Sus scrofa: one gene and its partners. The protein of the gene in region 4 purifies or fractionates together with the protein of the main gene of each other region. This does not show direct contact. Links are inferred from orthologs where the notes say so. Each region holds a gene or a part of one and is shown on either strand. Other genes may lie near its edges.

Evidence for each region.
Region 1: the proteins of HNRNPC (region 4) and SF3A1 fractionate together in Homo sapiens (co-fractionation; 3 studies listed by BioGRID and IntAct, with this or other methods). This does not show direct contact. The link is inferred for Sus scrofa from reciprocal best matches to the Homo sapiens genes HNRNPC and SF3A1.
Region 2: the proteins of HNRNPC (region 4) and DHX9 purify together in Homo sapiens (affinity purification with western blotting; 5 studies listed by BioGRID and IntAct, with this or other methods). This does not show direct contact. The link is inferred for Sus scrofa from reciprocal best matches to the Homo sapiens genes HNRNPC and DHX9.
Region 3: the proteins of HNRNPC (region 4) and SRPK1 fractionate together in Homo sapiens (co-fractionation; 3 studies listed by BioGRID and IntAct, with this or other methods). This does not show direct contact. The link is inferred for Sus scrofa from reciprocal best matches to the Homo sapiens genes HNRNPC and SRPK1.
Region 5: the proteins of HNRNPC (region 4) and U2AF2 fractionate together in Homo sapiens (co-fractionation; 3 studies listed by BioGRID, with this or other methods). This does not show direct contact. The link is inferred for Sus scrofa from reciprocal best matches to the Homo sapiens genes HNRNPC and U2AF2.
Region 6: the proteins of HNRNPC (region 4) and CRNKL1 purify together in Homo sapiens (co-immunoprecipitation; 3 studies listed by BioGRID and IntAct, with this or other methods). This does not show direct contact. The link is inferred for Sus scrofa from reciprocal best matches to the Homo sapiens genes HNRNPC and CRNKL1.
Region 7: the proteins of HNRNPC (region 4) and HNRNPR purify together in Homo sapiens (affinity purification with mass spectrometry; 3 studies listed by BioGRID and IntAct, with this or other methods). This does not show direct contact. The link is inferred for Sus scrofa from reciprocal best matches to the Homo sapiens genes HNRNPC and HNRNPR.

The regions. Positions count from the first base shown.
Region 1 is NC_010456.5:47,321,949-47,325,448, forward strand, and holds part of SF3A1 (splicing factor 3A subunit 1), read right to left. Parts: intron 2,549-3,500; coding exon 2,291-2,548; intron 1-2,290. UniProt on the Homo sapiens protein: Component of the 17S U2 SnRNP complex of the spliceosome, a large ribonucleoprotein complex that removes introns from transcribed pre-mRNAs.
Region 2 is NC_010451.4:124,140,664-124,144,728, forward strand, and holds the start of DHX9 (ATP-dependent RNA helicase A), read left to right. Parts: upstream 1-1,265; 5' UTR 1,266-1,423; intron 1,424-4,065. UniProt on the Homo sapiens protein: Multifunctional ATP-dependent nucleic acid helicase that unwinds DNA and RNA in a 3' to 5' direction and that plays important roles in many processes, such as DNA replication, transcriptional activation, post-transcriptional RNA regulation, mRNA translation and RNA-mediated gene silencing.
Region 3 is NC_010449.5:31,677,306-31,680,805, reverse strand, and holds part of SRPK1 (SRSF protein kinase 1), read left to right. Parts: intron 1-1,623; coding exon 1,624-1,732; intron 1,733-2,742; coding exon 2,743-2,830; intron 2,831-3,500. UniProt on the Homo sapiens protein: Serine/arginine-rich protein-specific kinase which specifically phosphorylates its substrates at serine residues located in regions rich in arginine/serine dipeptides, known as RS domains and is involved in the phosphorylation of SR splicing factors and the regulation of splicing.
Region 4 is NC_010449.5:77,966,145-77,970,410, forward strand, and holds the end of HNRNPC (heterogeneous nuclear ribonucleoproteins C1/C2), read left to right. Parts: intron 1-1,745; coding exon 1,746-1,906; intron 1,907-2,393; coding exon 2,394-2,507; intron 2,508-2,754; coding exon 2,755-2,915; intron 2,916-3,014; coding exon 3,015-3,098; coding exon of another isoform or gene 3,099-3,116; 3' UTR 3,117-3,766; downstream 3,767-4,266. UniProt on the Homo sapiens protein: Binds pre-mRNA and nucleates the assembly of 40S hnRNP particles. Interacts with poly-U tracts in the 3'-UTR or 5'-UTR of mRNA and modulates the stability and the level of translation of bound mRNA molecules. Single HNRNPC tetramers bind 230-240 nucleotides.
Region 5 is NC_010448.4:59,772,793-59,776,989, forward strand, and holds the start of U2AF2 (U2 small nuclear RNA auxiliary factor 2), read left to right. Parts: upstream 1-1,397; coding exon 1,398-1,446; intron 1,447-4,197. UniProt on the Homo sapiens protein: Plays a role in pre-mRNA splicing and 3'-end processing. By recruiting PRPF19 and the PRP19C/Prp19 complex/NTC/Nineteen complex to the RNA polymerase II C-terminal domain (CTD), and thereby pre-mRNA, may couple transcription to splicing.
Region 6 is NC_010459.5:28,109,072-28,113,272, forward strand, and holds the start of CRNKL1 (crooked neck-like protein 1), read right to left. Parts: upstream 2,801-4,201; 5' UTR 2,386-2,800; coding exon 2,335-2,385; intron 712-2,334; coding exon 559-711; intron 1-558. UniProt on the Homo sapiens protein: Involved in pre-mRNA splicing process. As a component of the minor spliceosome, involved in the splicing of U12-type introns in pre-mRNAs.
Region 7 is NC_010448.4:81,218,917-81,222,416, reverse strand, and holds part of HNRNPR (heterogeneous nuclear ribonucleoprotein R), read left to right. Parts: intron 1-3,213; coding exon 3,214-3,390; intron 3,391-3,500. UniProt on the Homo sapiens protein: Component of ribonucleosomes, which are complexes of at least 20 other different heterogeneous nuclear ribonucleoproteins (hnRNP). hnRNP play an important role in processing of precursor mRNA in the nucleus.

The DNA of each region.
Region 1 (3,500 bases), on a different chromosome or scaffold from region 4:
CCTTTGGACTTGGTCATTTTCTAAACACAAACATTTTTATAATTCTTCCTAGTTATATACCTAGAATAAATGAAGTTAGAGGAATTCATTAAATAACCTTTGAAGTCATATCTTTAACATATTGTATCTAGATATCAAAAACAGATATGGCAGATCATGCCACTAAAAAGGGAAGACAACCTCCACTACGTGTGTAGCAAGAAAAACATGCCAGAGTTCCTGTCGTGGTGCAGTGGTTAACGAATCCGACTAGGAACCATGAGGTTGCGGGTTTGGTCCCTGCCCTTGCTCAGTGGGTTGACGATCTGGCGTTGCCGTGAGCTGTGGTATAGGTTGCAGACGCGGGTCGGATCCCACGTTGCTGTGGCTCTGGCGTAGGCCGGTGGCTACGGCTCCAATTCGACCCCTAGCCTGAGAACCTCCATATGCCTCGGGAGTGGCCCAAGAAATAGCTAAAAAAAGACAAAAAAAAAAAAAAAAAAAAAGAAAAAGAAAAACATGCCACAGGCAAATCTGTACCAGTGTACTTCGCTATAAATTAGTGATCTATTTTATTTATTTATTTATTTATTTATTTATTTTTTGTCTTTTGTCTTTTTGTTGTTGTTGTTGTTGCTATTTCTTGGGCCGCTCCTGCGGCATATGGAGGTTCCCAGGCTAGGGGTTGAATCGGAGCTGTAGCCACCAGCCTACGCCAGAGGACAGCAACACAGGATCCGAGCCGCGTCTGCAATCTACACCACAGCTCACGGCAACGCCGGATCGTTAACCCACTGAGCAAGGGCAGGGATCGAACCCACAACCTCATGGTTCCTAGTCGGATTCGTTAACCACTGCGCCACGACGGGAACTCCGTGATCTATTTTAAATACCAGTATTGACTTGTCTGGATTCTTCATTACAACAATGTATCATAAAAATTAAGATGCCAGGGTCCAGAATAAAAATGCCAGAGCTCAAGTCCTTGGCTCTGCAAACTGCCTAGAGCTTTGTGACCCTGGCCCAGTTAACTTCTCTGTGCCTTGGTTTCCTCTTTCATAAAATGAATATAAAATAACATTGGCTACCTTACAGGTTACCAGGGATTAAATGAGAAAATACTACATACATAAGTACTTAAGAGCGGCTATACTTAACTTTGTTGGAGTTCCTGTCATGGCGCAGCAGTAACGAATCTGACTAGGAACCATGAGGTTGTGGTTTTGATCCCTGGCCTCGCTCAGTGGGTTAAGGATTTGGCGTTGCTAAGAGCTGAGGTGTAGGTCACAGATGCGGCTTGGAGCTGACGTTGCCATGGGTGTGGCATAGGCCGGCAGCAACAGTTTCGATTAGACCCCTAGCCTGGGAACCTCCATATGCTGCAGGTGCGGCCCTGAAAGGACAAAAGACAGGAAAAAAAAAAAAAAATCCCCAACCAACCAACCAACCAACCAAAAAAGCCTTTGTTAAATAGTTTCCCAATGCCTATTTAAATGACACTTCTAGGGAGTTCCCATTTCAGCTCAGTAGTAACAAACCCTAGTATCCATGAGGACGCGGGTCTCATCCCTGGCCTTGCTCACTGGGTTAAGGATCCATCATTGCCATGAGCTGTGGTGTAGGTTGCAGACACAGCTTGGATCTGGTATTGCTGTCGCTGTAGCACAGGCTAGCAGCTGCAGCTCCTTTTTAACCCCTAGCCTGGGAACTTCCATATGCTGCAGGTGCAGCCCTTAAAATAAAAAAAAAAAATTAAAAAAAAAAAAAAGGGAAATGATATTTCTTACTCAAGGTACTACCTAAGGTGAAAAACTGCCTAAGTTTTAGAGTCAAATGTTGGTTAAATCTCAGTGCAACTACTTACTAGCTGAGAGACCACAAGTAAGAACTTCACCTCTCTCAGATTGTCTCTATTTTTGAAATCGGAAGGAAACCACTAACCTTATGGGTTCTTGTGAGGATTAAATTAGGTACTAACAGGAAGCAATTATTAAGGCCCTCCTTCTCAGGATCTGTTCAGGACAACTGAAAATTTAAAAGTATTTAAAAGCGGCCAGCACTACTTGGCCCTGTCACACAGCAGGCACTCACCTAATGGCAGTTACCACTCATTCATTTCCTTTCTCTTTAGAAATAGCAGTTGTGTTGCATTTAGTAGGAAAACTGAATAGAAATCAATATTTCATACTGAACTGAGATTTTACACATCTGCCTGGAGCCCCACCCTTGCAGAGAGTGAGAAGACTGCATGCTAGTGGTAGGGCGCCTTCCCTCCCTGGGCCCAGCACCCAATCCCACCACACCCAGGCACCTTGGTATACTGTTCCACCAGCTTCGTGAAGTAGTTAAAAAGGCTGTGTTGGGGACGAAGGAAGTCAAACTGATAGTTGCGCTGCTCTTTCTGCATCAGTTGGGTCAGAAACTGGCGCCCATTTCTGGCCACAAACTGAGCCGTCAGCTTCACCACGTCCAGGTCGAACGCTGAGATGGAGGGAGGGTCTGCGATGAACTCGAATTCGGGAGGGGGTTCTTTGGGCACGATGGTTTCTTGGATCACCTGGGCTTGGACCTAAGATCCAATAAGAACGTGAGAAAAGAGGCACAGGAGTAGACTACTGTGGAGGGGGTGGGAACACACCCTGGCAGGATGGCAGTCCTCTATGCTTCTGCTAATTACACTCATACCACTGGCACATGGTATGAGAAAAACCTAACTCAAAACAGCACCAATTTCTTGGCCAACTGTAGCCTCAATTCTCTGAATGGCTTTTTGAATGAGGACCCTGCCCCTCTGTACCTCTGATGTGCCCTGAAACTGAGGACCAAAACTGGGTGGCAGAAGATCAATAGGAACACAGCTTATTACATCCCACCCAACAGGGATGGAGGATGCAGAAGACCCTACCAATCAGAAGACTTCCACATTTGTTACCTCATCTGGCCTCCACACGAACCACAAGGTAGACATGACAAGTACCGTAAATTCTTTTCTTTCCCTCCCGCTTTTTAGGGGCACACCCATGTCATATGGCGATTCCCAGAATAGGGGTCAAATCAGAGCTGCAGCTGCTGGCCTACATCACAGCCACAGCAACATCAGATCTGAGCAGCATCTGGGACCGACACCACAGCTCATGGCAACCACAGATCTCCGATCCACTGAGTGAAGCAGGGATCAAACCCGCATCCTAATGGATACTAGTTGGATTTGTTTTCACTGCACCACAATGGGACTCCCATAAATTCTATTTATAGGTGAGGAAACTGAGGTCATCTGAGGCCCAAGGAGTAGTAAATTGCAACACAAAGTCTCCGAACCTACTTCAACCTCTTCACTGTAAAACAAGGGGCAGCCCTTGCCATGATTCGATAATGCAGCAAAGAGAAAGGACACATTGTGCCTCCAGGTCCACACAGGTGGCAAAATGTATGGGCTCTTCCTTTCCTCACTGACAGCCCTAATCTTTCCTAGCGCTAAGGGGTTATTAAGGCAGGCCAGACAGAGAGGTCCTGGAAAGATG
Region 2 (4,065 bases), on a different chromosome or scaffold from region 4:
AATGTTAAGGGAGATCTTAGAAGGTACTAGTTGCCAAGGACAACCTACAAAGGTAAATGCCATTGCTGGCATCCAATCCCCTGGCAACTCAAGGTCCCAGATGCAAGGCCTAAATTAATAAACAACTCAGTAATAAAATTCTCTGTAATCTTTGGGAGCCAAAGATCGACCTCAGAAAATATTCTTTATACTTAATTTGTTGATGTTTTTGGTGTGTACATTATCTACTACAAAACATTTGCAATCCATTTATGTTAGTTGGGTTTCCCTTATCATGAAAACTTCCTGATTTAAGCATCCTGAGAGAGATAAGGAAACAAAGGATTAAGGTATTTCCCTGATGATTTTATTCCTAGTTGAAGAGAGCAAACATGGAGAAAATAAGTTAATGAGTAAATACGTTCCTCTGTTTAACTTAAATGTTTTAATCTGTGTTACTCTGGTTGTAGAAGAAACAGAGTTTTAAAGGGATTAATCACAGTGAGCTAGAAGAGTTAGGGGAAAAAAAGGGAAGAGGTGAAAAATAAGGATGTTAGGTACGATGGGGCCTGATACTTTACTGGTCTGGCTTCTCTGGAACAACCCCAGCTTGAAATATTTTGTATTGTTGCCTCCGTGAGAAGCACTGGAGTTCAAAAATTTAGCAGTGACTACTATAATAGTTAAGGATATAAATTACTCCGAAGACTATGAATACAAAAGGTTATCCAATTTGAGCAAAAAGAACTTTACAGTTTCTATTTATTAAACTAGTTATTACTGAGCACTTGATGTGCCAAGTACTTCATTTAGCGGCCTGAGCTGGCCAGGCAGGGTTCCCGCCTTCACCGAGCTTACTTCTATTTAGGGGATGTTAACCTTCGAGGAGCCGAATCACTACAATACCTACTGAACAACTATTGTGTGCTGGGTACTGCCCTAAGCCGCCTTCGCAAGCCATCTCATTTATTTTATTCTATTTTTTAAGCCATCTCATTTAATCACCAACAACCCTATAAAGCTACCACCTAGGATTTCCAGTTGTGTCTTTGTGGGGCACCTCATCTACCACAGGTCCCTATGACAGAAGGTGCAAAACATTCTCCAAAAACATGCGGCAGGCCCCTCCTGAGGAGGCCTCGCGCCAAAGGAGGAAGCTCCGCCCCGGCGCCGCTCTAGGGCGCGGCGGATCTCCCAGGCGACTGGACGCTGCCCGTCGCGTGGTTGCGGCAGCTCCGCCCCTCTTCCGGGCGCCCTTGGCCCCACGCTCCCCTTCTGCGCATGCGTAGCACACTGACTCCGCCTCCACAGCGTAGCGGTCGGAGCCATTTCGCCGCCGCCTCGGTGCGAGTGGTGGTGCGCTCGTCTGGTCTCCGTCGCTAAGGCCCGAGCCAGGGACGTTCCTGAGAGAGCTGTGCTCTCGGGCACAAAGAATCGGACTCCGGTAAGGGGAAGACGTCTTTGTTACCGGTTGGGACGGCGTAGGCCCCGGGGTTCTGCAGCGGGTCTTTGTTGCCTGGAGCTGGCGGCGGTGGCGGGTGGGGGAGGGGAGAGCCGCCTCGCTGGGTTCCCGGATTGCGGGTTGCGTGCTGCTTGCGACGCCGCTCCGCGCTTGCGCTGCCTGAGGCCGCCATTTGGCCCCCAGTTATTCGCGGAGGCAGGCCTAGTTTCGTCTCCGGAGCGGCCAAACCCCACTTCCTCTTCCAGCCTGCGCTTGGCGGTGGCGCTGTCGCCGTAGAGTGAAAGGGACTGAATCGGCCCGGGGTGGGGGGAGCTAAGCCCGCCAAACCGCCGCCCACGCTTAGGGCCCTTCGTTCGTCCACGCAGGCCTGCGTGCCGAAAATAGCGGGTGGTACCCTGCGGCCTCTGCGGATAGAGCAGAAAACAGGCTAGGCACAGTCCTTGCTCTTTTCTCTCAGAGGTTGGGGTCGTGGTGGGGGTGGGGAGCCGTGTGGAAACAAGTGCTGGTTTCGGTAAAAAAGCTCTTGGAGGATTTAGTGTAAAGGAAGGGCGCCATTTCCGGAAGGGTGGCGCGAGGGAAGGCTTTTCGGAGGAGGCAGACATTTGAGCCGACGTCTCGCCCAAAGGGTGGAGATTATCGACTACTAAGATGTGGAAGAAAAGCAGAACTCCCCAGGCGGAGGGGGATTAGTTAGTGTTTACTGGCAGGGATTAGAAAGAAACTGAAAGAAGGCCACGTGACTGGAATGTGGTGAGAAGAATTTAAAAGAAGATTGGATTTTAGCGTGGTTACAAAGGAAATGGGAATTATTTAGGACCTTGTTGCTGAACTCCAGCTGTTGCAGTAGTGGGAGAGGGGAGGGAAGCGAACAGATTGGAATCATGTTTGGAGGCGAAAGTGAGCCTTAGGTCAAGAGTAGATCAGGACTACCTGGGTTGGAATTTTGGGTCCCCCAATTAGAAGCTCTGTCTGTTGAGGCAAATTATTCTTTCTCTCAGTTTACTTACCTGTAATAATGCTTAGCTATACAGTGTCGTGTATGGGTTAAGTGAAGTAGTTGCTGCAATGCTCCTTAACGGATACTGATTGGTACATAATAAAGACTGCAACGGATGGTTATGGAGGATGTTGAGGGACTGGATAAGTCCCAAATGGGTGATAGGAGTAATTTGGTGGATGGTTGTGCCGCCTAAGGAGGTGGGAACACTGGGATTAGAGGGAAGAGGAACAGGTTTAGGGAGGAAATTTAAAATTGTGTTTTAACTGTGATGCCATGTTAGCATTCAGGTGGATACATAAGTGCTGCAGATGGATGAACTTGATTTTGGAGCTTTTAAAGAGAAAAGACTAAACTTTCAATGTATATTTGGATAGCATTAGTCTATAGTTAATATTTAATATGATGGCGTTAGATAAGACTAGGGAGGAAGGAATTTGATAGTATAGTCCTTATTTCATGTTTTCCATTCACCCTGAGGGCTTGTTTTTAAAATTAATTATTCATGGTTGGAATTTGTAGGTAGACATCTTCAGTTTTCCACAACTTTTCATGAATCGGTTATCCCCAGGGTTAACCTGTGACTACAGAAGAGCCTTTTTGTACTAGGGTTCAGTTTGATGAAACTAGATGTAGGTGCTAACAAAATGCACTAAACATTAACGGAAGACAGAGGCTTAATGGGGTTTCTTCCCACATCACAGCAAACAATTCTTAGCATATTTTCTCCAGTTCTGAATTTGGTCTCAGATCCCTCTGCGTGTAATTTAGACTCAGGATCCGTATCTTTTGCTATAAACTGATGTAGAGGGAGAATGCCAATCACTATGATAGGTTGCACTTAAGGAAAATGTAATAGCCTCAAATTTAATGAGTAACAAGGCCTAAAGGAAAGATTTAGCACAGAATATATTTGGACTTAATAACATTGCCTATTGCTGTGCAGATGGTCTTCTAGGAGACATAATCCAAATGAGGATAAACTCTTGGATTTATATACAAAATGATGGAAGGCTGTTTCTCCATTTATTTATTTATTTAGGCTGCCATGAGGTATCTGGAGTTCCCAGGCCAGGGATCATATCCGTGCCCTAGTTTTGACCTAGGGCACAGCTGCGGCAGTGCCTACAGTGCCGGATTCTTAATCCACCCACGGTGCTGGGCCAGGGATTGAACCTGTGATCCCAGTGACCACAGCAGGAACTTTTTTTTTTTTTTAATTAAGTTTTAAAGGAGTATAGTTGATTTACAATTTGATAATTTCTGCTGTACGACAGAATGATTCAGTGATGCATGAAAAAAAATGCACCCATTCTTTTTCAGATGACTATTTCTTAATATATTGGTTTGGTTTTGAATTTAGGCCTTCTACAGTGAGTAACTTGAAAAAGTTACTGAAACTTTCTATGTCTAGTGTCTTGCTCGTAAAAAAACTGTAAAGTAGAAGCTATAGTTTATAGTGTTACCTACTGTTGTGAGGATTAAATTAGTTAAAACACATAAAGCGAATATTGTAAAAAGTAGGACATTACATAAAATGTCTTTAAAGAAAAGACGAAAATCGCTTGTAGATATCTAAAGATAACCATTTGGGAGGATATTTCTTTTCCAGTCTTGATTTATACAT
Region 3 (3,500 bases), about 46 Mb from region 4:
GTTGGGTTCTTAACCCCCTGAGCCACAACAGGAACTCAGGCATAAACAGGGGGGTTTTTTTTTTTTTGTTTGGTTGATTGGGGTTTTTTTTGTTTTTCTGTTATTGTTTTTGCATTTTTAGGGCTGCACCCATAGCGTATGGAGGTTCCTAGGCTAGGTGTCAAATCAGAGGTACAGCTGCTGGCCTGCACAACAGCCACAGCAACACAGGATCTGGACCTTGTCTGCAACCTACACCACAGCTTATGGCAACACTGGATCCTTAACCCACTGAGCGAGGCCAGGGATGGAACCTGCAACCTCATGGTTCCTAGTTGGATTCGTTTCCACTGTGCCACAGCAGGAATTCCCAGCATAAACAGTTTTAATGCTTTTCTCTAAGTACAGGAATTAGTATTCCCTTTTAGTAATTAAAACTTTGTTTTATATTAAATCTGTTTCTATTCCTTTTCTCCTTAAATATGGTAGTGCATATTTACCTTAGAAATTTCAAAAATGTATTCAACAAAAAGAAAATAAAGGCTATCTGTAGTGCTGTCATCCAGAAGTAACCAGCGATAAGATTGGATATACAGACTTGGAAAACACTTGCTTTTTCATTATTTTTTTCTTAAAGTGTTGATTGCTAACATATGTTAACTGGAATTAACAGATACTTAAACTGTTTTAGAAGATTACCTGATATGTTTCCTTATGAAACTTTCCAGTATTCTTGGGTAGCTCTTAAAACAGAGTGTATATTACCATCGAGGAGAACCTGGTTGTTCTTAGCAGCAGAGATGTTAAAATCCCTTGATTCCTGCCACTGTTGGCAGCCTCTTTAGGCCTTCCTGGTTTTTTTCTGTTGTATTATGTGTTTTAGAAAAGCAGTTCCTTTTTTTATTTTAAGTTAAGTAAATAGAACTCATTAATTTCTCTCCTAAAATATATCCCGAGGGAGTTCCCTGGTGGTCTTGTGGTTAGGGCTCTGTTTTCACCTCTGTGGCCTGGGTTCAATCCCTGGTCTGGGAACTGAGATCCCACATCAAGTTGCAGCATGCTGCAGCCAAAAAATTTTTTTTTTAATTCTGAGACTACAACCGTAAATGGATTTTATAGTTTAGATAAATCTGTTGAATTATTGAGGGGCAAGAATGGTGTGATACATAACCTTACTCTTGTTTGGGGCTGACTTTATTTTTTTAGGTAACTAAAGCATCACTTGCTCACTCTTATTAATCATTACTCTTATTCTCTAAGATACTTTTTTGTAGCATGAGCTCAACACTAGTGTGTGGCTGACTTAAAATTGTCCTTTGTTGAATTGACTGTATTAGAAGAAACCAATTTGGGAGTTCCTATTGTGGCTCAGAATCTGACATAGTGTCAGTGAGGATGCAGGTTCCATCCTTGCCCTCTATCAGTGGGTTAAGGATCTGGTGTGGCTATGGCTGTGGCATAGGCACAATTTCGTAGGCCTTAGCTGCAGCTCCTATTCAGCCCCTAGCCTAGAAACTTCCATATGCCCAGGTGTGGCCCCCCCAAAAAAATGTATTTGATAAAAGGTGTATTGATGTTGAAAAATGGGTTGTAAGATATCCTTTCTTACGTAAAGTGACTGTTTTCTTCCTGTTGTTCTTCCAGGAGGCTACCATCTTGTGAAAATCGGAGATCTATTCAATGGGAGATATCATGTGATCCGAAAATTGGGCTGGGGACACTTTTCAACAGTATGGTTATCATGGGATATTCAGTAAGTTTTAATGGTCCTGCAAGTGAATTAGGTCGTTTTTAAATGTTTTGCCTGGTTTTCCACCTTCAGGCTAACTCTAGACTAATTTCTTAATCAGAATCTTAACTGTTGATAATCTTTATGTTCTTGGCCAAATGACTTCACTCTGAAGCACCTTAGAGAAACAAGATTGATTAAATTAGTATCAGTAAGGTGCTTGAAGCTCCCAAATTCGAAGTATGGGATGTAACCTTTCAGTTTTTCTCACAGGAAGGAGTAGAGTAAAATTTTTTTATTGTGTCCTTTAGTTTCACCTATGTGAAATTATTTTTGTGTGTGTGGTTTCTTTTGCTGACAGATTTGCTCAGCCATACAATCTAAAACCTCTCTATGTAAAAACCGCAGGCAGTTAACATTGGGTGTTTACCTAAAAGTATCTTTGATGAGACAGCAATTGCTGTCTGTGCACTTAGGTTATAAACAGTTTTTCACCCATGTATTCTGGCTTCTTAGAGGAAAGTGTTAATAGCATTTAACCTTTTCTTTTTTTGTTTTGTTTGTTCTCTTTTTTAATCATTTATATATATATATTTTTTTCTACTGTACAGCATGGTGACCCAGTTACATATACATGTATGCATTCTTTTTTCTTACATTAAGTGTTCCATCATAACCTTTTCCCTTTACCCTGGATACTTTTAGTTTGATGGAGTTTTCCCTTTTATCTCTATTTCATGGTTTTACTTTGATTCACAGAGACATTCGGAGGGGTAGATTTTAACTTAGAGAAAATGTTTGGTGTCTGACATTATCCTAGAACAGATTTTTTTTCTTTTTGTAAGTTAAATTTGGCCAGTTAGTGCCGCTAACAGATATAGACAGCCCCATTGAAGTAGAAGTTTGTATCTGAGCACAGGACAAAATGAAATCAACATTTGTAGTTTTGTCACCATTTCCCAGTTACAGTTAAATCTTAGCTTCCTAAGTAGGGGTAGGACATTTAGTCTTAATTGCCTGTGTTTGTTTCTTAGGGGGAAGAAATTTGTGGCAATGAAAGTCGTTAAAAGTGCTGAACATTATACTGAAACAGCACTCGATGAAATCCGGTTGCTAAAATCCGTAAGTATTTGATTATGAGCTGCAAAGTTTTATTAAAAAAGCATTGTCTTTTCAGTTGAGACACACCAAGTGTATACTCTTGCATGGCTGGTATTTACTGTAAAGCTCCAATATCCTTAAAAGAAGACAGTATTTGTTTTAAAATGTAGTAAAAATATGTAAGATAAAAATAAGCACTGTATTCTCTTTAGTATCTGGAGACTTTGGTAAAATGTATCAAAAACTTATTTTCGATTTTGTTATAAATTAGGAAATGTCAGTGTAGCGAAAGGAGCTTAAACTCAAAGTTAGAAAACATGAGTTTTAGGACCATCACTCTCCCAGTATGTCCTCATCATTACTCATTTCTTCTGAGCCTTGGATTTTTCATTTATTAAGTGAGGCTGTTGAACCAGGAGAGGTCCTGGGAAGTACTTTTCAGAGTGCTAGTCTGTGACAAAATAAGGAGCTCAGGCCCAAAAGTAAATCAGTGAACTGCTTCCTTCCCTGAGAAAGTTTTTCTGTGAAAAAAATGAAGGCTGAATAAACAATGTGGTTAGTTGCTTTAGTTGACTTGCATCCTACAAAAGGAATTATTTCTTTTTTTTTTTTTTTTTTTTTTTTTCTTTTTGTCTTTTGTTGTTGTTGTTGTTGCTATTTCTTGGGCCGTTCCCGCGGCATTTGGAGGTTC
Region 4 (4,266 bases):
GAGTGCTTTAATAATTTTTATCAGTCATTGATTCTTTGGCACATGGTAAATCATTATTATGCTGCAAGAGGAATGGTGTTGGATGGTCAATGCTTAAAAACTGTTTGAGTGAAGATTAGTAGTAAGTCATTCCCTCACTTCTTTGGCAGTGTTCCTAGCATAGCCACTTATAGGAAAATATTAAAAATATTATCTTGTTAAAGTAGGGTGGAAACATTTTTATATTAAGGTAGGTAAGGTTTTTTTTCCTACTGATAATGTTTTACTTATACTGTCATGGGTTTTTGTAAAATAACAGATTGAAGAGACTTTGTAGAACCGCTCTCCATGTTTTTGGTTGTATTTTGGATTTTCTCTTTATAAATGTTCAGAGTCAATACCAGGCCATCACTTTGGTGTATCTTTTTTTTTCCTCTTGGCCGCACCATGGTATATGGATGTTCCTGAGCCAGGGATCAAATCCAAGCCTCAGCTACGGCAACACTGGATCCTTAACCTTCTGTCCCAGGCTGGGGATGAAACCTGATCTGTCTCAAAGACAATGCCAGATCCTTAACCTGCTGCAACACAGTGGGAACTACACTTGGGTGTATATTTAGCAGTCACTGGGATTACTTGTCCAGGGGAAGCAGCAGTTGAGCAGTCAGTGATTTTTGAGAACTAAATGTGTGCTGGACACACTAGTGAATAGTGAACAAGATAAACAATATTCTCTGTTGAAACTTTGAGTGGAGCTTATGCTGAATGTTAGAATTGATAGTGGTAGTGGTATTTATGCCCAGCTAATACATGAAATGCCTGTTTCTGTAGGCCAAAAATGGTTAATATTGGCCATTTTATTGGTTCAGTGTACTGTTACTAACTAATGGTAGTTACTTGTATGTTTCTGTGGTTAAAAAGATCAGGCAGGGGAGTTCCCGTCATGGCGCAGTGGTTAACGAATCCGACTAAGAACCATGAGGTTGCGGGTTCGGTCCCTGCCCTTGCTCAGTGTGTTAACGATCCGGCGTTGCCGTGAGCTGTGGTGTAGGTTGCAGACGCGGCTCGGATCCCGCTTTGCTGTGGCTCTGGCGTAGGCCAGTAGCTACAGCTCTGATTCGACCCCTAGCCTGGGAATCTCCATATGCCGTGGGAGCTGCCCAAAGAAATAGCAAAAAGACAAAAAAAAAAAAAAAGATCAGGCAGGATTTAGGTAACAAGAGCGCTGTTTGCAGGCTTGGTTGAAAATAATGTTCTTTTGGAGTTCCCACTGTGGCACAGTGGGTTAAGAACTCAACTTCAGTGGCTTGGTTCACTGTGGAGGCACGGGTTCAACTCCCTGGCTTGGTGCAGAGAGATTAAAAGATCTGGCATTGCTACAGCTGTGACATAGGTTGCAGCTGCAGTTTGGATTTGATCCCTGGTCCAGGAACTTCCATATGCTGAGGGTGTGGCCATATTTTAAAGAAAAAAAGTAATGTTCTATTAAAACTGCCATTGTACATAGGAACCTTTTATGTCCAATGCTTAAGGCAACCAACCATATTATTGGATGTGTGTGTGTGTATATGTATTTTCTTGAAGGAAAGTGGCTGCAGTATTAAATATCAAAGAATAAAGAATTTTACTGGCCTTTTGAATTAAATTAGCAAAAAATTATTATTGTAAGGCGGTGGACAATATTTTACTATTTAATAAGGAGACTGTTTGAATCTTCCTGACTCAATTTTAGTGGTGAAGGAATTCTTTTTCTTTTTCTCTAACAGGATGTACAGTTACCCAGCACGTGTTCCTCCTCCTCCTCCTATTGCTCGGGCTGTAGTGCCCTCAAAACGCCAGCGTGTATCAGGAAACACCTCACGAAGGGGCAAAAGTGGCTTCAATTCTAAGAGTGGACAGCGGGGATCATCTTCTAAGTCTGGAAAGTGTATGTATTATTATCGCAGCTTTATGATTCTTATATTTCTTGTGTGTTGAAATAGGGAAATTAATGCAGTTAATAATCAGGTTTTGTACAAATGACTTTGGATAGTCAAAATTATAAAAGGTGACAAATAGTGATTAAAGGGCCAACTCTAAACAACCTAACGCCTTGGTAATTTGAAAAAAAGTCATTAGATTTTAGAGAGTTGAAATACCTATTCAGTGTATGAAATGTGTTAGTAAAACAGAACCGAAAATGCTTTAAAATAGAATTGAGGTCTTTGGCTTGCCTTAATGTTAAGAATGCTGCTGCTAAGGGATAGGCACATTAGATTCAGTTTTCAGCTTCCACCTAAAAGATCAAAGGTCCCTGTTACTAGGACAATTTGGTACAGGCTCCATTTCCCTCCAGGGATCTCATGTTGGTTACTGTTGTATAGTCTAGGTGAAGAGTGTGTTTGAGTCTAATCTAGATTTTATTTGTATTAAAGTAAAAGGAGATGACCTTCAGGCCATTAAGAAGGAGTTGACCCAGATAAAACAAAAAGTGGATTCTCTACTGGAAAGCCTGGAAAAAATCGAAAAGGAACAGAGCAAACAAGGAGGTAAATAATGGTCCTACACTTGTTGGGTGTAAAGTAGGGTTAGTTACCTAAGATAGTTGAAAGTGTATGTTGGAGTAGTGGGATATAAAGCAGTTGATGAATTTGAAACTTGTGGAGTTTGAATTGGGAAGGGCATTTGTGTGGGAGGATTTAGACTTGTGCTGCATCTCTGTGATCATTAGTGGGGATTGTCTACATCCTGTGGACATTACTTGCCCCTAGACAGACTTGTCCTTCTCATCCCCAGTAGAGATGAAGAATGATAAGTCAGAAGAGGAGCAGAGCAGCAGCTCCCAGAAGAAAGATGAGACTAATGTGAAGATGGAGTCTGAGGGGGGTGCAGATGACTCTGCTGAGGAGGGGGACCTACTGGATGATGATGATAATGAAGATCGGGGGGATGACCAGGTGAAAACCACGGGAAAGGAAAGAAAGAGGTGGTGGAGGGGGGATCAGGGACACATGGAGTGCCTCTAACTCCATCCTATTTGTGTCTGTTTCTCACAGCTGGAGTTGATCAAGGATGATGAAAAAGAGGCTGAGGAAGGAGAGGATGACAGAGACAGCGCCAATGGCGAGGATGACTCTTAAGCACATAGTGGGGTTTAGAAATCTTGTCCCATTATTTCTTTACCTAGGCGCTTGTCTAAGATCAAAATTTTCACCAGATCCTCTCCCCTAGTATCTTCAGCACATGCTCACTGTTCTCCCCATCCTTGTCCTTCCCATGTTCATTAATTCATATTGCCCTGCGCCTAGTCCCATTTTCACTTCTTTGACGCTCCTGGTAGTTATGTTAAGTCTTACCCTGTAATTTTTGCTTTTAATTTTGATACCTCTTTATGACTTAACAATAAAAAGGATGTATCGTTTTTATTAACTGTCTCCAAAATAATCTGTTGTTATGCAGGGAGTACAGTTCTTTACATTCATACATGAGTTAGTAGTTGCTTCCCTAACTGCAAAGGCAATCTCATTAGTTGAGTAGCACCTGAGAGCAGCTTTGAGTTAGAGGTATGTGTGTTATACCCCACATAAGAGTGCTGTGTGGGGCTGTTCAACACAAATGTAACAATGTATTTTTGTGAATGAGAGTTGGCATGTCAAATGCATCCTGTAGAAAAATAATTAGTGTAATAGTCTTAAGATTTGTTTTCTAAAGTTGATACTGTGGGTTATTTTTGTGAACAGCCTGATGTTTGGGACCTTTTTTCTCAAAATAAACAAGTCCTTATTAAACCAGGAATTTGGAGAAAAAATAAACACCCTGGTTTTTTATTTTTGTATTTTATAGTTGTTTACTTCAAATTCTTTGTTCCACAGCAGCTTCCACAAAACCCCTAGAATGTACTACTAGATAATGTTTTTCTTTGAGTCATAACTACTCTGCATACCAACATACACAACTCAAATTGTTTTGCTGGGGTGGGAGTTGAATTAAGGAGACAAGTGACTTGTGGAGTGGAGATTGTTTTGCAAATATGGCTTTTAAATACTGATGATAAAGTTTGGGAACTACATTAAGCTGTTTTTGTCGGTGCTTTGTGGTCCAGTTAGCACCCTTTTTGAGATTTTTTTATTGTGTGCTAAATTGTTCCATTTCTAAATAGAAGAGGCTCAAACATGTCAAGATTTTAGGAAAAGGTGAAACAACTGGAGAATGAAAGCTGTATTTTCTTCAATTTTAGTTCTTTTGATTGCTATTTATAGCCCTAGTTACCATGTGGATTCTGAGTCTATGCCTCAGTGTTACTGAAAA
Region 5 (4,197 bases), on a different chromosome or scaffold from region 4:
CGGGAAGGAGGCATGAGCCGACTTGGACCAGAGGCAAGGCGGCAGAAGGCGGGACTCAATGACTTTTGGGAGAGGCGACCATCGAGGGGAGCGGGGAGCTCTGAACAGAGACTGCCTCCAGGAGGCGGTAAAGCGAGATTCTCTGTCTCCCGGAAGTGCCCGCTGCGTGGCTAGCAGCGTCGGCGCGGTTGGGGGGGGGAACGCTCGCTTGTGTGGTTGCCACGGCAACCGCAAGGGGGCGGCCTTGCTCAACGGTCGGGAATGTAGTCCCTTCCCTGGAGGAAGGAAATCTCGCGCACGCGCGCTCGGGCTGTGGCCCCGACGACCCGCCCCCCCTCTCCGAACAGTGAGAGGTCTCGGTTCAGACCGATCTCTACGCAGGCGCAGAGGCTCTCTCGCGCTCGCCCCTTCCACTTTGCGCATGCGCACAAAGCCGCGCTGGCAACCTCCGCAGCAGCCGCGCGCACTCTTCACTCCGCTGGCTGCTTTTGTCTCGCGAAACCTTCTTAGGCGCTTCTCAACATCGGTCCTTCTTTTCCTCCCATCGCCCCACAGGGAGAGCCGGGTGCTGAGAGCCGAGACCCTGCCTCTTCTTTTCCTTTCCCCTGACCCACCTCGCCTCTGTCCTCCCTCCCTTTTTGGTTCCCGGAGCCGGAAGGAGCCGAAGCGCCCACGGAAAAAGCCGAAGGTGTCTGCTGTGAGTCCTTCCCCAGGCGGTGGCGGAAGGAGCCGAAGTTCTCCGAAAGGGGGAGGAGGTTGCTCTTGGAATCTCCGGAAAGAGCCGAAGTTTGGAAACGGGTTTAATCTCTGGTTGGGCCCGAGGGGGAGCGCCAGAGACCTTCGGAAAGTGCCGAAATCCGGGACGGTTAGGATTGTCGGAAGTGGCCGATTGCTTGGACAGGGCCGTTGGGAAAGAGAGGGTAGAATCCGTGGAAGCAGCCAAAGACGGACGGTTTGAGTTCTTGGAAGAAGCTGAATTCTAAGTGGGGAGTCTGGGTGCTAGGAATGCGAGGACCTACGGAAACATCCGAACGTTGAAGAGCTACTATCCGAAAAGTTACGAAAACCTGAGAAGCCTGCGAAACCCTCGCTTCGGGTGTTTTCGGAAGCAGCCGAAGTCGCCTCTCCCTTCGCTCCTCCACGGTCCGGAAATAGCCGACGCGTTTCGGAGCCAGGCCCTGGGGGGAGGTGCGCCTCGTGGGCGGGCCGGCGGGGAGAGGGGCGGAGCCGGGGCGGGGCTGGGCGGGCGGCAGGGGCTTGATTAGGTAGGAGGCGGTGGAACGCCGGCGGCGGCCGGAAGTAGCCGAAGCAAGCGGCGGAAGTAGCCGAAGCGGCCGGATCGGGCGCGCGGCAAGGCGAGGCGAGAGCTACACAGGGCCCTACGCGGCCGCCTCAGCATGTCGGACTTCGACGAGTTCGAGCGGCAGCTCAACGAGAATAAGCAAGGTGAGGGCGCCGGGGGTGCGGGGCGGCGGGCGGGGCGGCTCTCGGCTTCCCCCTGTGTCCCCCGCCATTTTCCCCCTCGCTTCCCCCCCTTAGGCCCGCACGGCGCCCCCCCACCCCGCGGTGCGCGCCTTACTCACGTGACCGCCCGGCGTGCCGCCGCGCGGGAGGGGAGGGGGCGGCGGGCGCATGCGCGCCGCGTTCGGTTCCGCGCCCCACGTGGCCCCCGGCGCGGGTGGCGCGGGCGCCGCAGGCTGTCGGGAGTCCGTTGCGGACTTATTTTCTATTTTTTTAATTTGGAAAGGAGATTATGTAGATTGGGTCCCGCAACCCCTCCTTTTCTCCCGATGCCCTCGCACTTCCGCTTCCGGCCGGGCCCGCGGCCGGTGTCTCCACGCCCCCTTTGTTCCAAAATGGCGGTTGGAGCCCCCCTTCACGTGGGCGCATGCAGGGCCGCGGTGTGGGCCCTTCTCGCACCGCCGCCCTTCGCGCCTTTCCTGGGGGCTAGTCGCCGGGGTCCCTTCCAGCCTAACGTGGGTGATGCGGTGTCTCCTGGGAGAGGTCCGCACTGTGCGTTTTCAGTGTTCCTCCCGCACGCGGTTCTCCCTCGCGCCGTCGCGCCAGGCACAGTGTGGCGTGTCTGCCCCCCATATCTCCTCAGTTAGACAGGTCCCCTGTTCTGTACGAGCCCACCCTCCGGGCGCCGCGTGTGTCCGCCTTTTCAACGTGGCGATAAAGAGACAGGCTCGGAGCGAGTAGGGAGACTTAGCTCAGTTGGGAGGATGGGAGGCAAAGTCCCTCCGGTGATGCGGAGTCCAAGTAGGAGGCCGAGCTAGTGCCGACTAGTTTGGACACCCCACGAATGTTAGAACAAACTTAGGCCTGGAGGAGGTGGCGAGCGCGAGGCCTAAGCTCCTTGTGGTCAGAGGACTGCACAGGGGGCGGGGGGCGCTGGGGTTCCCCTTTCAGCCCAGTCTGCAGTTGGGAGCAGGTGGCTGGTTTAGGAGGAGACAGCGCCTGGGGAAGACGAAGTCGGGTTTCGGAGTGCCCACGGGGTGTCTGTACACGTTGTAACGCTTCACAGCACAGGCTTTGGAGGGGAGGAGACTTGGCTTCTAGTACCTGCTTTGTTGCTAAGTAGTTGTGGAACTTTAACACGTCTATGCTTTTTTTTTTTTTTTTTAATCCTTTTCTTGTGTGTAGTGGCTGTTAAATAGGTATGTGTCTTTATTACCGGTTTCTGGAGTCAATGGTGATGGCAGTACTGATAGTGCTTTGCTAAGCTTTTACACGGCTTATTTAAGTAGATGGTCAACAGCCGTGGGGGACTGACATGACTTCCTTTCCTTTGCAGAGGAGGAAGCAGGCTCAGAAAGCTTGAAAAACTTTCTTTGGTTTTAGCTGGTGAGAGTTGCAGCTGAGGTTAAGTGAGGTAATGTGTGTACAGTGTGTGGCATACGGTCTGGCATTCGTTAAGTGCCTAACGAGGAGTATTGTGAAATGATCCCTAGTGAAATTTCTTAGGAAGGTAATGGAGAGGCTGCCCTGAGCTGCCTCAGAGGTGGTGTCAGAGTTGGGACAGCAGGGAGAGGTGCTTTCCCAGCGTCATTATCCCATGTCCCACACTTGGGGCGGGATGAGCGTCGTTTAAAAGACCGGGAACACTGAGGTTGGAAGGTACGGTTGCTGTTTTGTGGTTTTATGCAGTTGGTAGACAGAAGAGCTGAAGCTGATCCTGAGTCTGGCTGCAAAACCACGTGCCCCTAGGCTGGACTGCTAGATGGAACTGAATGAACCTTCCTTGGGGCACTTGCACACGTGCTGCTTGGTTTCTCTTGGGTGTCCCCACTGGTACTGGCACGTCCCTTGGGCTGGTGGAGTTGTTCCCACAACAAAGTGATCACAGCGTTTTGAGTAACCACAGCTGCCTTTCCTTCCTGACCTGTTTGGGTTGAGGCAGGGAACCTACTGTTGCTTTAAGGGGAAGCTTTGCCCTAGTATCGTTGTGCCTGTGGGTCTTTGTCTCTGTGGTCCAAGCCTCCTCCAAGCCTCAGTCCCTGCCTTGTGCACCTGTGTCTCCAGGGAATTAATTTCCTTGTCTGTGTCTCAGGCACCCAGCAGGCGCCACTTCTTCCTCTGTGTCTGTTCCTCTCTGCCTGCTTGTCTGTTTCAGAACCAAAGCCACAAAAGACGCTGTTTTTATAGTTGGCCCATCTTTCAAGAGTGGAGCCAGAGGCCCAGAGCCTCAGGCCAGCACACCTCTGGGCCCTCAGTGTCATGCTTACCTGCTACTTCATGCTACTTGCCTCCTGGTTCCAGGCTTGGATTTGTTTTTCGTGTTCAGTCTGTGTCTTCAAGGAGGTAACCGCTTGTCTTTAGGGGCTCCCGCCAGACCCTGGAGTGTTCTGGCTGCCCCATGTTGAGTATTGCCTAGTGCTTAACTGCACTTGTGGGCATTTCAGTGTTCACAACTTCCTTGCTTTTTGGCCAGGGGCAAGTCACATGACCTCCCTGAGCCTCAGTTTTCCCATCTGTCAGGTGAGCCTCTAGCAGTGTCTCCCCAAGGTAACAAGATTAAGTTCAAGTAGAGCTAGCACAGGATCTAGTCTTAGGTACCATTGCAGTGTTGGCTGGAATTTTTTTTTCTGTTTTCCAAGGTGCGTGTTTTTCTGTCTTTTAGTGGTTCTGGAGTTTGAGTTCACTTGTGAAAAGTTTTATGTTTAATTGCATCAGAAAAACATGTGAGGCAAAAGC
Region 6 (4,201 bases), on a different chromosome or scaffold from region 4:
CCATGAACTGTGGTATAGGTCGCAAATGCGGCTTGGATCTGGTGTTGCTGTGGCTGTGGAGTAGGCCGGCGGCTTCAGCTGCGGTTACACACCTAGCCTGGGAACCTCCATATACTGCAGGTGCAGCCCTAAAAAAAGCAAAAAGACCAAAAAAAAACCAAACCACATTCTAGGGTGAAGAGGTCAATTCAGATCCTCATGTCTTCCTAGGGCTTTTTCCTAGGTTTCACTTCTTAACACAGAAGGCAGTACAGACAGAAGAAGAGAACAGAATCTCCCTAGGCTCACCCCTCCTCCAGCTGTCAGTTGTTGTGCCTGTTAAACTTCCACCCATCTTTGATCTACTAAAAAAAATCTGTCTCTGGTGGATCTAATTTCTTTACACTTAACACGCACAACGAGGCAAAATGCAATCACCTGGTAACCAGAAGTCATGCTATTCATGTGGCTACAAACACTAACCTTATCTTATAGTCTCTCTTAACCAGTGAGGAACTTTTCCACTTCTGACCTGTTCTTAACAATATCAACAGACTGAAAGACATCACATTGACTCACCTTCCTCTTCCTTAGTTTGTAATCATTTAACTCCTCTTCATCTGTGATCTTCTGTTGAGGGGGAGGTGGAAGAAGCTCAAGTTCTCTTTCCTTAGCTTCTCTTAGCAGTTGTTCTGCAGTTATCTGTACCTCAGCTGGGGCTTTGTTTTTCACCTTTAAGACGAGACATTTCTATTTTTAGTAGACCTCTTCACACAAGGTTTAAGAAACAAATACACATTTCTTAGGATGTGAACTTTATAAACATTATTACAAGATGCCCTCCTTTGCATGACATGCTCCCATTTCTCCATAAAATTAAGTTAAAAAATACTGTTTTCTATCTTATGCATAGTATCTATCACAAAACCACAGATAAAGCTCTCAAGATATAAGGTAGCAAAAAAAAAAAAAGCACCAAGTTTTCCCTTTCAGATTAATATAATAGTAAACTCTGAGGCTGCCTAGATAAAATTCTCACCAAAGGTTTTATCAAGATGTGTGCTATATTTAGCATTTCAACCTCTATTTACAGAATTCTTCAACTTAAGCCCCAGGTAGAGGATAATGTCCCAGGTGGATAATTACAACTGATTTTTCATGGCACTTCAAGCCAAAGACTTACTCAGTAAGTTCTCATTATTAGGCTATAAGAGTCCTAGATCCAACACAGTAGCCATAATCACATTTGTTGAGTTCAAAATGGGATGGCTTCTAGTGGTAAAATATAATGGGATTTCGAAGATTTAGTATGAAAAAAAGGATAAACTACCTAATTAAATTTTTTATATTCATTACATGTTGGAATGACAATATCTTGGATTGGTTAAATAAAATATATAATTAAAATTAATGTCACCTGCAACTAGTTAAATTTAAAAAATTTAGTGGGGGGAATGAATGTCACCTGTTTTCACTTTTTAATGTAGCTATGAGAAAACTTAAAAATTACCTATGGGGCTCACATTATATTGAACTCAGGGAGCCCAATAAAAGTTTGTGGAATTGAATTGATAATTGTTCAGTGTCATGCGAAGAGTGATGATTATAATAAAATGATAGCTCATACCTAATGAACATTAAGTGCCAGATGCTGTGCTATGCACTTTATATGCGGTATCTCAAAGAATCATCATCTAAGTGGATAAAGGCTCAAGAAAGACACCTGGGCTGGAGAAACAGACTGGAGGGAGAGTATCTGTAAAGGCTTAGGACAAAGCCTCTTACATATTAAGCACTCACTAAGTATTAGCCACCGAAGGAAAAATCAGATTTCTTCTTAAATTATGCTAACTCGCAGGTCTTGTCATCTACTCTCATTCCATCCACTCTCAGCTGGCCAACTTCTACTCCGCCTCAAGGGTCGGTTTAGGTATCACTTCTCAGCAGTCTACTCTGAGACCCCTCACACAAGCCCAGTTTGCCACGGCATGTTCCACGTGGCCTGAGCAGCATTCAAGGTTGTATACTTGTAAAGATACTTTACACTTGTATCTTATTTGAAAGCTGCTCCTTGCTCGCCCTCGTTGGAGCTCCCCAGCGCCTAGCGCGCTACCTGGCTCAGCTGGTCTGTGTGGAACGACCCCAGTCCTCCCACCGCAAAAATGCCTTCCGAGACGATGGCCACGCAAACGCGGGTGCGCCCCCCATCCGCTGACCCTTCCCCTCCAGCTCTCCCGCGGCCCCACATGGGGCTGGCCGGCTCCCTGGACCACACGCCTCCCGCCCCGGGAACCGCGGAGGCCAGGCCAACCCCCTTCCCGGGCCTCCTCCCTCAAGGCTCGCGCCGCCGCCTACCTTGGCCACTTTCGGGATCCTCTGCTTCCCGGCCGCGGTGGAGGCCGCCATGGCTGCAGCGTCAGACCTCGGGCAAGCCCGGGACCCCACAAACCAACCGGGAACGCTCGCCTACACTTCAGGGATTTCCGAAAACAATCGGGATCCCGGAACCGGAAGCGGAAGTGGCTGGGGGACGTTTGACCTCCCGACGGCGCCGTGACGGAGGCAACGTCGTTTCTGTGGTAACGGTCTGCGCGTCCTCCTAGGAGCCGTGGGCGGAGCACGGCGGCTGGAGTTGCAGGTGAGTTGGATAGTGCTGGCTCCCGGTAGGGACGTGGGGAAAGTGCAGGGCGCCGGTCGCTCATCCACAGGTCGTCTCCGGGACTGGGATGCCCGTCCGAGGATGGGTGGATCTATGGAGCCCTGTTGCCAGGCAAGGGGATAGGAACCCGGCTCCGGTCAATACGCTCGAGGGCGTGGAAAAAGAGGCTGGCCAGAAAAACTGCTATTCCCGGCATGCCGAGCGGCGAGCTGCTAGGCTCCTAGGCGGCCCGACGCCGCTGTGCATTTTAGGCTTTGTAGTCTTTGAGATTTACTCTCTCTTGGTTTCTGGCTAGTTGTGACTAAATACTTAACTTTAAGGCTTGTAATTTAAAGTAACTGAAGGTTTTTAAAAGCCAGATAATAGAAATAGAGTGAAAATAAATCGTCAGAGTAATAGCAAATATGCCAATCTTGTGGTCAGATAAACATATTTAAATTTTCTTTGTGCCTTAATTTCATCAATTCTCTTAGCCCCGATGTCCCTAACTATAAGACGCAGATAATATCTATTTCACCAGGATTAAAAAGAAAAATATAAGTAATGTGCTCAGTAAATTTTAGTCGGAATATTTCTTGAACTGCTTTCAGAAACAAAAATTAATATGTGTGTGCCAATGATTAAGAGAATTTTTAAAAATAGAATTTATTTTTTAAGAGCAGGCTTAGTTTCACAGGAACATTGAATGCAAAGTACAGAAAATTCCTATTTCTCCTGCCCTGGACTCCAGCCACTGCACTATCAATATCCACCACCAGCGTAGGGAACCTATGTTGACATATCTTCATCAACCAACCTTCATAGTTTACATAGGGTTTACTCGTCATGTTGTGCATTCTGTGGGATTTGACAAATAATACAGTGCCATCTGTCCACCATTATGGAATGGTAAAGAACATTTTCACTGCCCTAAAAATCTTCCGTGCTCCGCCTATGCATCCCTCCTTCCCATTTTGTTTCCTGTAACCACTAATTTTTTTTCAATGGCAGTCTTTTGTAGACTGTCATATCATTAGAATTATATAGTGTGTAGTCTTTTCAGGTTGGTTTCTTTCACTTGGTAATATTCATTTTAGATTCCTCCCTGTCTTGTCATGGCTTGATAGCTCATTGTTTAAAAGATTGACAGTTGAAAGCCTCTTTTGGTGTTTGGAAAATATATTTATGTATTTATGTATGCAGATCACATCCACCTTTGCAGAAGAAATTTTATGCTGATTTCCCAGACTGAAGTCACCTGTAACCAATATAAAAACGTTTGCCATAGTTTCTGTACATCTTATTATTATTTAAATATTGAACGTTTTCTCACTTTTCAAATTTTAAATAAATTGAGATTTTATATAACTGTGATAGAAGTCACCTAAGGAAAGAAATAGCTATTAAAATAAAAAGATATTTCCCTTGAGTTCTCTTCAGATTGTAACTATACACAATTGATTTGACAAAGTTTAATCATCTATAGCAGCCTCTCAAAGACACAAACACCTAGAATGTTTTCTTTCTGATTGCCATCCTTCCATTTAATTGTATGTGGATTCAATTCAGCTGTTTTTTAAAAGC
Region 7 (3,500 bases), on a different chromosome or scaffold from region 4:
ATGTTGCTGTGGCGTAGGCCAGCAGCTACAGTTCTGATTTGACCCCTAGCCTGGGAACCTCCATATGCCACGAGTGCGGCCCTAAAAAGACCAAAAAAAAAAAAAGATCTGACACTTAGCTTCCTCACTTGGCTGTGTTCAACTGTATTTTTATAGTGCCACTACACGTGCTTTCTTTGCTTTTACATATATTCATAATAGGTAGGAGAAAATGTGGATGTAAACGATGTAATTTTGAAGCACCACTGTATTATGTTGATAGAAATAATATAAAGCAGAATTTACTTCCCAGAACAGTTTTAAAATATTCAGATACAAATACTGTCAAGTGCAAAAAAATATTCTAACCAGGCTAGGCCTGGGTGTGGCCAGAGAGCCTGGCCACACTAAAAACTGTATTTCAAAATTAATTGCAGTTGCTCTTGTGTATTTTTTATCTCAGAATACCACTTTTTCTTTTTAGGGCCGCACCTGTGGCATGTGGAAGTTCCTAGGCCAGTGGACTAATCAGAGCTGTTGCTGAGGCCTACACCACAGACACAGCAACACCAGATCCCAGGTGCATCTGCGGTAACACTGGATTGTTAACCCACTGAGGCCAGGAATGGAACCAGCATCCTCATGAATACTCGTCAGGTTCTCACCCACTGAGCCACAGTAGTAACTCTCAGGATACATTTGATCAGTAACTTTTTTTTTTTTTTTTTTTTGGTCTTTTTAGGGCTGCACCTGAGGCATATGGAAGTTCCCAGGCTAGGGGTCAAAATCAGAGCTGTAGCTGCCAGCCTGAGACACAGCCACAGCAACACCAGATCCAAGCCACGTCTACAACCCACAATGCGGTTCACAGCAACGCTCGATACCTAACCCACTGAGCAAGGCCAGGGATTGAACCTGTGTCCTCCTGGATGCTAGTTGGGTTTGTTACTGCTGCCATAATGGGAACTTCCTCAATAACTTTTTTTGTTGTTGCTTTTTAGGGCTGCACTTGTGGCATATGGAAGTTCCCAGGCTAGGGGTCGAATCATTGCTGCAGTTGCCGGCCTACACCACAACCATACCAACTCAGGATCCAAGCCGCATCTGTGACCTACCCCACAGCTCACAGCAATGCTGGATCCCTGACCCACTGAACAGGCCATGGATCATACCCGCATCGTCATGGGTACTAGTCAAATTCATTTCCATTACCACAATGGGAACTCCAGTAACTTTTTTTTTTTTTTTTTTTAAGTTCCGTGCCCTGTTAATGAATGCTGGTTTATAGGTTTGATAATGTTACAGGGTGATACAGCTTAAGTGAGTGAGGAGTGGTCAAATTCTGGATTGTTTGAAGGCATATCTAATAGGATTTATTGATGAGTTGGATACAGAGATTTGAAAGAAAGAAGCCAAGGATGACTTCAAGACCTGTGACCTGAACAGCTGGCAGGATGGAGTTGCTATTTGTGGAAGTGAAGGAGGTGGTAGAAAAGAGCAGATTAGTAGGATTGAAAGATAGATGTCTCTTAGACATCCATATGGAACTGTTGAGTGAGCAAGTGGTTATATGAGTCTGGAGTTGATAGGAGAGTTCTCACTGGAGATTATAAATGTGGGAGGCATAAGCATCTAGATGGTATTTAAAAACTATGAGTTTAGGTGTAGTCACCATCTGATTCCTGCAGCCCTTCAACATTTAGAATTTGGGGAGACAGAGAAACTAGTACAGGGGATTGAGAAGAGCCAGTGAGGTAGGAAAAATCAGGAGTTTGGTCTCAGAAGTCAAGAAAGTTTTTAGAGAAGGAAGGATGATCAGTTATATCAGACTTCCCAAGTATGATGAGGACTAAGAATAGACATTTGATTATGGCAACATGGATGTCATTAGTGACTGATTGGAATGGTTCTAAAAGCCAGATTTGGAGAAGATTCAAAAGACTGGAGATGAGGAATTTGAGGCAGCAAGTATATGTAGCTCATTTGAGTAATTTTGCTACAAATGGTAGCAGAAAAATGGGACAATAGCTGGGAAGGGTTGTGTTGTAGTCAAGATATGTTTTTTTTTTTTTTTTTTTTTTTTTTTTATTTTTTTTTTGTTTGTCTTTTTGTTGTTGTTGTTGTTGCTATTTCTTGGTTCTTGGGCCGCTCCCGCGGCATATGGAGGTTCCCAGGCTAGGGGTCGAATCGGAGCTGTAGCCACTGGCCTACGCCAGAGCCACAGCAACGCGGGATCCGAGCCGCGTCTGCGACCTACACCACAGCTCACGGCAACGCCGGATCGTTAACCCACTGAGCAAGGGCAGGGACCGAACCCGCAACCTCATGGTTCCTAGTCGGATTCGTTAACCACTGCGCCACGACGGGAACTCCTGTTTTTGTTTTAATTAAAATTTTAAGGGAGTAATTACACTTAATGTGCTGATGGGAATGATCCATGTATAAAGGGGGAAATTTGATAAAATTGTTGCTGGACTAAGTGTCCTTGAGCATGAAAGAAGGGATGGGATCTAGTGCATCAGTTACAGTTAAGAGGTAGATGTTCATCCATGTATTAATTCAAAGATGAGCAGCTGTTGTGTTCCTGGTATTTCACTGCTTGAAATAAAATGGGGAAAAAGAGGTAAGCTCTCTGCTCACATAGAAATTGAACCCTTTTGGAGTTGCCGTTGTGACTCAGCAGTAATGAGCCCAACTAGTGTCCGTGAAGATGAGGGTTCAATCCCTGGCCTTGTTCAGTGGGTTAAATATCTGGCGTTGCTGTAAGTTGTGGTGTAGGTCACAGATGTGGCTTGGATCCTGCATTGCTGTGGTGTAGGCTGGCACCTACAACTCAAATTTGACCCCTAGTCTGGAAACTTCATGTGACAAGAGGTGCAGCCCCAAAAAGCCCAAAAAAAAGGGCATATTTCCATGAAGATTTATACATGTCTTTCATTCCTTTTTTTTTTTTTTTTTTTTTAGGAAAAAGAGGCGTAATTCAGAATTTAGAGTTGGTACAAATTTTGCACACTTTTATTAATCAGTTTCCATTTTTCAGCATAGAATATTGGTTTGTGTTGATGCCACAAGGGTCATGATAAAGGCTAGGATTTACTTTGGAGGATTCAAATTGTCCCCATTTCTCCTTAATGAGATCTTTGTATCCCCACTCCCTAAAAAAGGGAGCTGAGCTTTATGGCTCTGAAATCAAATGCTTACATTGGGATTCTAACACAGAGGCTTTAATTTCAGGTCTTTGTAGGTAAAATACCAAGAGATTTATATGAGGATGAATTGGTGCCCCTTTTTGAAAAGGCTGGTCCCATTTGGGACCTTCGTCTTATGATGGATCCACTGTCTGGTCAGAACAGAGGGTATGCATTTATCACCTTCTGTGGAAAGGAAGCTGCCCAGGAAGCTGTTAAACTGGTATGTGATAAATGTCCACTTTCCAGCAAATCATTATTTGAGAGAAATAACCTCAATTAAAAATGTTTGCAGTTAACATTATTTCATTTTTTTTAGTCTTTGCTTTGATG